Linked DNA regions of Coturnix japonica. The protein of the gene in region 1 purifies or fractionates together with the protein of each later gene. This does not show direct contact. Links are inferred from orthologs where the notes say so. Each region holds a gene or a part of one and is shown in the gene's direction. Other genes may lie near its edges. The genes, in order: ETV6 and LRP6.

Evidence for each region.
Region 2: the proteins of ETV6 (region 1) and LRP6 purify together in Homo sapiens (affinity purification with mass spectrometry; 3 studies listed by BioGRID and IntAct, counting the BioPlex papers as one, with this or other methods). This does not show direct contact. The link is inferred for Coturnix japonica from reciprocal best matches to the Homo sapiens genes ETV6 and LRP6.

Annotation. Positions count from the first base shown.
Region 1 is NC_029516.1:65,808,642-65,812,461, forward strand, and holds part of ETV6 (transcription factor ETV6), read left to right. Parts: intron 1-1,272; coding exon 1,273-1,437; intron 1,438-3,820. UniProt on the Homo sapiens protein: Transcriptional repressor; binds to the DNA sequence 5'-CCGGAAGT-3'. Plays a role in hematopoiesis and malignant transformation.
Region 2 is NC_029516.1:65,918,106-65,921,925, reverse strand, and holds part of LRP6 (low-density lipoprotein receptor-related protein 6), read left to right. Parts: intron 1-625; coding exon 626-862; intron 863-2,271; coding exon 2,272-2,382; intron 2,383-3,820. UniProt on the Homo sapiens protein: Component of the Wnt-Fzd-LRP5-LRP6 complex that triggers beta-catenin signaling through inducing aggregation of receptor-ligand complexes into ribosome-sized signalosomes.

The DNA of each region.
Region 1 (3,820 bases):
AAGATCTTCAACTGACTGCACTCCCTGCAGAAAGGAAGGACTTAAAGAAAGCTCTGCCCTTGGTAACCAGCCCCTAATTCAACAGGAGGAGAGATAATTTAAGCCCTTCATAAATGCCATTTCTTGTGTCTGTGTGGCACAGTTTTACAGTGAAGGTAATGGAGACCTACTGTTGCCATGCAGGCGCCCCTTCTTTTGGTCAGCCCCAACTGTTTCTTGAGCTCGATCTCAGTTCTCACTCAGGATCAGATTCAGTTCTGTGTGCAGCTGTGGTCTGGGGCTTTCCAAAGCCGCTGCCTGGGAATCTGGTGTGGCAGCAGAATGCAATTCACTGCGTGTGACCTCTTGCTGAAACAGAAAACAAGGTTGCCTGTGTGCAGAAGTGAAAAAAAAAAGCAAAACAAAACAGTACAAATCTCCTGGGTTTCTTTTCTGACTTGGTAAGACAAGGGTAATCAGATCTCATAGAGTGGTGTGCCAGGAAGGAAATTTCTTCCCATGTGCGGCATACAATCAGCCAGGTGCAAGATGAGGAAGGGAGGTTCGTCTTCCTCTGAAGCATAAGGTATTAGCTCCTGCCAGAGGCTGTGTACCAGAGATCTCATCAGATACGGCAAATTTCACGTTCCTCTGCCCAGCGTGAAGCTTTCATTTCTACACAACACATTGTAACAAGTCAAACAATGAGTCATCCCACAAGGGGGAAAAGGAAAGAAAGCTTTTATCTCCCAGCAGACTGGAGATAATCTGCCTACCTAGGTATAAACAATTCTTCACCATGCTGCCTTCTCTCCAGGGGAAGGAAGCTGTTTTAAATTCATCTGTAGAACAGATACTGAATTGTCACACCTCCCAGGGCCAAGTAAAGGTGGCTGGAAGGGGCATGTAGAGAGGGCATTCCCTGCTTCTGTGAGAGGGTGCACAGTGAGCATGGATGGGGCCAGCAGCTTCATCTCCTGCCTGCTCTGAGCCTTGGAAGGAGCAGCTGGGGGTCAACCCCATCCCACAGTGGAAGCCTGGAATGAAATAATATCCTAGAAGGGATGTTGAGGCATCTTGTTTTTCAGAATGTCCAAAATAAACTGAGATACCTAAACTAATGAAGTGTTGCACAGCCCAATGCTTAGTGTGATCCTGACATCTCTCTACCACACCTTGCCTGGAGACTTTGCATGTTACGGTGTGGGGAGAAATGGAGATTCTATGATATTTGCCTATATTCACATACCTTGTCTAATTTTGTAACGCAGTCTTGGTCTTTTCCTGGTACAGGTTTGCAGCCCATTTACTGGAGCAGGGAGGATGTCGCACAGTGGCTCAGGTGGGCGGAGAAGGAGTTTTCCCTGAGGCCGATTGAGAGCAACACCTTTGAAATGAATGGCAAGGCTCTGTTGCTCCTGACCAAAGAGGACTTTCGATACAGATCGCCTCATTCAGGTGAGGAATTCTTATGGAAGCTACAGTTGAAAGAAGAGAAGAAACTGCAACAAGAGGGACAAAAGAGGATACAGAATCATGCTTGTTAGGGTGGGCTGGGCAGTGGAGCAGAGAAGGGACAGAAACTCTTATATGAGACAAAGACAGAAAAGACAAGAGGGAAGAGAAATCTAGTTACCCCTGAGTTGTAAGTAAATTTGGGTGCAACTCCACACCCAAAAATGCAACCTGTCTCTCATTAAAACTCTTTGCAGAACCCACAGAAAGTGGGCTTCTTTGGCAGCATTTCATGGCTTCCAGCTCTTCCCCATAAAGACTTATCTTTTTGCAGACCCAACAACAGCAGCAAGTTAATCAAGTGCTCGAGCCTCTTAAGAAGCTGACATTAGCATTCTGTCTCACAGCTGGCTTGGCTGACATGCTTCTAAGAGTGACTGCAAAATTCATCCATGGGGGACCTTTCCTCTATTTTACAGCCCTTGTGGGCTTTACTTTACTTTATCATACTCTCTCACGTGCTGGAGGCTGGCCCAAAGTACAACACAGATAGGTGTGAATCAGTTGGCCTGTTGTTCAAATTATGTCTTCATTTATTCACACAAGTGATTTAGAAATACATATGTGGTCTTCCTGTACTTAGATCCCCTGCAGTCTTTCTGCTATGGTATCCCAGTCAGAGTAAGCCTCTGCCCTCCTTTGTCAGAGATGTTTAACTAAATATGAGTTATTGGTTCTATATAAGAGTTGTGAGCTTTCTTTTTATGACCATACGTGGTACCTCTGTTAAATATAAACATTTACTCAATCACTATAGATGATCAAAGAGTTTGCACCAAGTGGTTACAGAACTGCTGTTACCAGGCTTGCAGCATAAGATTCGCTCAGTGCAGAAGCGCAGCTGGTGCAGTTTGGCTCAGGCTGATAAAAAAGGAATGGCACTAATTCTGCTTCTAGTTCCTTTGTGACTCCCTTGAATGCACCCAACCATCCTCCTGCAGAATCTGCCTCTCATACTATGGTTTATATTTCTTCTATACACACTTTTCAAAGCATGTACTTTAAACCAAGAATAATTTTTATAAAAGGAATTGCCAGACATCTGTGTCTATTGCTAGTATAATACAGTAGTGAAAACTGATGCCTGGAAACATCCTTTGGTGGGTTTTTTTGGTACTCATTTTGAGCGATTTCATTGCAAAAATTAACCCAGTTTTAAGGCAAAAGAAGTACTGAAAGTGGGCAAGGACTGTAAAGGACAACTCTATGTAACTTGTTTGTTATTCCCCTTATCATACCAGTGCCTTGCTGCCTACCAGTTATTTCTCTACTCTTCCCTTTATGTGCTGTGAGGGCACTTGAAATGAGTAGGATTAAAATGTTTGTTGGCTGGAGATAGAGCGTTCTCAGAGAAGAGCCTCTGGCTTGCAAATCCACACTGTGCAGAAGGTTAAACTCTTGTTTACCTAAACTTGGGTTAGAATGGCCTCTGTCCCAGCTCTTTCTCTCCTCTTTTTCTCCAGGTATTATTCCTCACCAATAATAAACATTTTAGAGGATAGCTCAGTCAGCCTAAATTACTATAGGTAAAATATACCTCAGTGTTTCCCAGTAATAAAATACACGTGAAACATAAGAACTGTAAAATAATATTTGCTATAGAGCTTAAGTTTTTCATAGAGTGTTGATATATAAAGGCTCTATCCTTTCTACTCCTGGTTAAACCAGTAGAATAGCATCCTCTCCTCCCAGTGACTGTACCAATAAAATGGGTACACAGCCACCAGCTATACTCTGATCTAGCACTGGCTCGGGAAGAGAGCAGAGGAGAGAGAGAGTGAGGAGACTTTTGTTCTTGTAACTAATACAGCTGTGTCTTTGTGATGCAGAAGTTTAAATACTTTGTTAGGTGAAAAAAGAAAAGTTATTGCTTGGAGTGTTATAGTACTAGTTATGGTTATGCCACTATTGCATTCAAAGATGCAAATTATGAGGTAAAAGACTTTCATGTACTCAACATGGAAAAGGTAACTGAGTTCTTGAGGCTTTGTTTGTAATTAGATTTTCAGGTATTGCAGACACTTCTTTAAAATGCCCTGAAGTCACTACTGAGACAGTGAAAGCAGCTGAGATGCTAAAAATAAAGGAAGTTGAACTGTGGAAAGCAGGATAGCTTTAACCGTTTCATACTAAGACAATAAACTTCACTGCAAGTAGAACATTATAGAGACAGCAGCTGAATGGCACACAGCTTTCAGTCTCATAGGAGCAACTGTTAACCCCACACACACTTGAGAAAACTCTCCTGGAAAATCCAGGGTTTCCCAGATGAAACTGTTAAGTTCCTTTTCAGATACTACTGCTGTAACTTGTTCCTCTGTATTAT
Region 2 (3,820 bases), about 110 kb from region 1:
TTACTTACTGCTTGAGATTAACAGTTACAGTAGTGAATGTTAAATAACAGCTAACAGCTGTGTTGAGATAGTGAGACAACTAGATGGAGCAGTTTTTTGTCATTTTAGGAGAATTTTGACTCGACAGAACTGTCGAGGGCACATAACTAGACACTGAGTCACAGCACATCCATCTGCAGCACATTACATCCTCTTAGTGTTTTCTATACAATGACTGTTGAGCATTAAGAAAGTGAACAATCAACTGTGTATGCAGTGGTGCTGCAGGAAAGGGCGAGTAAAGGAAAAGTATGTAGACTTAAAACAAGACTTTTGAAGATCTATGCAGAAGGATCTAAGAGGCTGAAGTGGGAAGAAAAGAACTGTGTTTTGAGTGTTCGTGTTTCTCTGTTCCTCTTCTTTGTCTGATGAGACTCCATTGACATGAACTTGCATCTGTCACGTGAGGCTCGAGACCAGCTCAAATGATTTTAGAGGCAGAGGGGGTAGAAATTACCTTGTGATGCTGTGTGTTTACCAGCTTCTTGATGTCAAAGCAGCTGAGTTATTCTTGTCCTTAACTGTTGTGATCTGCTGATTGTTCACCCGAATTTTTACTTTTTGTTTGTTTGCTTGATTTTTAAAGAACCTCCAACATGCTCCCCTCAGCAATTCACCTGTTTCACAGGTGAGATTGACTGCATCCCGGTGGCCTGGCGCTGCGATGGTTTCACTGAATGTGAAGACCACAGCGATGAAAAAAACTGCCCAGTGTGCTCAGACACTCAGTTTCAGTGTGAAAGCGGACAGTGCATAGACAGTGCCCTCCGGTGCAATGGAGAAGCAAATTGCCAAGACAACTCAGATGAGAAGAACTGTGAAGGTACAGAGGATCTTTCAAAGTACAATAGAAACAAAGCTGTACAGGGGATGCTATGAAAGATACCAAAGTTATTGTGGAATGCAGAATTCTAAAGGATTTGAATTTCTGCTGCTATGTCACAGGTTTATTGAGTGGAAAATTATTTCACAGCTCCATTCCTCTGTTTTTATACCTGCTCATGTCCTGCACAGTGGCTTAAGCTTTGTTTGTGAAAAGTACTCTTAAAAAATGGTATGTCTCAAGCTCTGAAACCTGGTAGCTTTGGAGTAAACGTCTTTCTGTAAGTGGGAGTGAGAGACAGATGCGATTCCTGGAGATGTCCTCTTACTATAGAGTACAGTAAAAGAGAGCAGTTAATCTATATGCTAAGTGCTATTACCAACACAGTGAGCATTAGGGATTTTTTTGTTGCCATTTTGGAAGGGGAGGTTTTGCTGAAGGAGTCTGAACTACCCTAGTACTATACCAAATGATCCATTAGATTACTTGACCTTCTTATCCTCTCTGCACAAGTAGTGAGGAATTGTTGGGACAACTTGTAAGCTTGAAAGGGTGCCTCTTCCATATATTCTTTCAGTAAAGTTTCTTTGAAGAGGCTGTCTAAGAGTCTTTGAATCAAGGCTGAATTTCTTTCCAAAAGATATGCTCCAGCTCAAACGAAAATATACAAGCAGATTCCTCTGTGATGAAGGATGATTTTTAGCCAGATGCTTGCTGACATCTGAAAATGCTTTGTGCAGGTTAGTTTCCCAGTTACCATCCAGTGACTAGAGATATTGGAACAGAGGCTGTTTATCATCTTCAAAATGTCCCTGTTATTCAGTGTGTACAGGTTGAGTGCAGATCAGAGAAGCCTGTAGTTTTGCTTCTTAATTGAGCTGAAATCAGAAAGAATTTAAAATTTATGTGAAACAGTGGGCAAAACTGTGTGTAAACAGCAGCAGCCAGTACCTTGCCTGAAGCACCTTTTTTTCCCAGAGAAGTAGTTTATTTTTTGAGTGTAATGGCAAAGATCCAGATTTGTCTTCTGTCTTTCATTTCAGTTTTAAAACATAATGTCAAGTGAAATGTATTGTCATATGATCAAGGAGTCTTCTATTTTACAAGATGTGCACAAGGGCATTGAGAAACCACATTTATCTTTCTTAAACAGTTTTAACATTGTGGTTTGGCAGATTTATTTTTAATAACTTAATTATTCTTGCTTGTGTTATAGTATGTGTTTAGAGTTGGGGATTCGGAAAGCAGTTTTGCCACCATCATGTCCTATGATAAGTACCTGTGTCCTCAGTGGCCTTCTGTATCTGATATTCCTGATTGTATGCCTTAGTATCTACTTTCCTTAATCACTTTAAAGAGCAGAAGCCTTTGATACTGACTCTTGGTTTGTGGGGTGGTTTTCTTCCCAGTGCTTTGTTTAACCAATCAGTTCCGGTGTGCCAGCGGGCAGTGCATTGGTAAAAGCAAGAAATGTGATCACAACCTGGACTGTAGTGACAGCTCAGATGAGCAAGGATGCTGTAAGTACAAAACCCAAGACTTGATTATCTGAATTTTTCTCTTACCTTCTCAAGGAGTTAATTTTAATCTGAACTGTACCCTGAACAGATGTTGTTATACAATTAATAACTAGGTGCTGTAGGACAGGAATCAGATGTAACTTGTATTTTGAATTAGTCCTCTCTGAGGCAGAACAGACTGATTAAATTTTCCACATACCTCTCTAAAGTTATAAAATAAATCAGAGGCTTCTTTTACTAATAATATGTTTGTATGCTTTTTCTATCTATCTGATAAAAAGATTTTCTATCTTTTTCTATCAGTGTGAGGCTCTTATATAAAACTGTTTTGCTTCATGGTTTTCCCATACAAAGATTAATAGCAGGTGCTTTTAAAATCAGATCAGCACTCTGCTTACAGAATAAGCCTTCTAACATTTCCTTTTCATCTTGAAAAAAAATGCAATTTTCCTACCTTGAAATCTCCAGGATTCTGCAAGAAAAATGCTGCCTTTAAAATTCCAACTTGAAAGTTCGTTTTCATTGTTGGTGTTTTGAAAGAAATTGTAAATAGGTGACATCTTTTCTTGTGTTGGAGGTCTGAATATCACAGGTGACATGTGACTTGAAAATGCAAAGACTTGATCTTAAGTAGTAATAAGAGATGTGCTATCATGTTAGAAAGTTATTAGCAACTTTATCACAGACATATGTCATTATTTTTTTCATTCATTAAGCATAGGCAGGGATTTGTCATTTATTTCCTTAAGTGTCATTGGTTAGAACTGGTACTGTAGGGAAAGCTGATCATTTTAGCTGTTGAAAAATTACTTTGGATACAGATTCCTTACAGAATGGCACTTCTAAAGTGGATGTGAAGATGTATCTGGTACATTTAGTGTGGGACAGATGTAGAGCGGGTTAGGTAATTTAATAAATAGCAGCAAAGCCAAAATTCATTACTGATGCATCATCTCTACTGTTCAGCATAACTGAATGTTACACAGTTCAGAACAGAGTGCGCCAGTCTGTTAAGCAGACTGATAACCCAGGTATTGTGTGACAAAGTATAGCACAAGTAGTGGTCACTGTTGTTAGCGGTAGCACAGTGCAAATGAAGTCCTGGCTGCAGGTCTTGTTCACCTAGCTCAAATGGTAGCCCTGTCTTTCAGCTGGTAGCAAGCTCAGGACCTGGTTCACAAGCATGCCTGCATATGGGTGTATTTATTCACCTCCCGGCATCTTATTCTAAAACCTCTGCACACTCGGAACTGTTTGCATGCACAGGTGGCCCTGTTGGCTTCCAAGTGTCTTTAAACAGACCTGTTCATGTGTATGTTTATTCCTAAAGTAAATTCATTTGAAAGCTGATATCTGCTTATGGAAGTGGAGGCTGTTCAATGATATCATGAAGACTGATGTTGATATATGAAGCTGTTTCATTAGCATCTACTGAAGA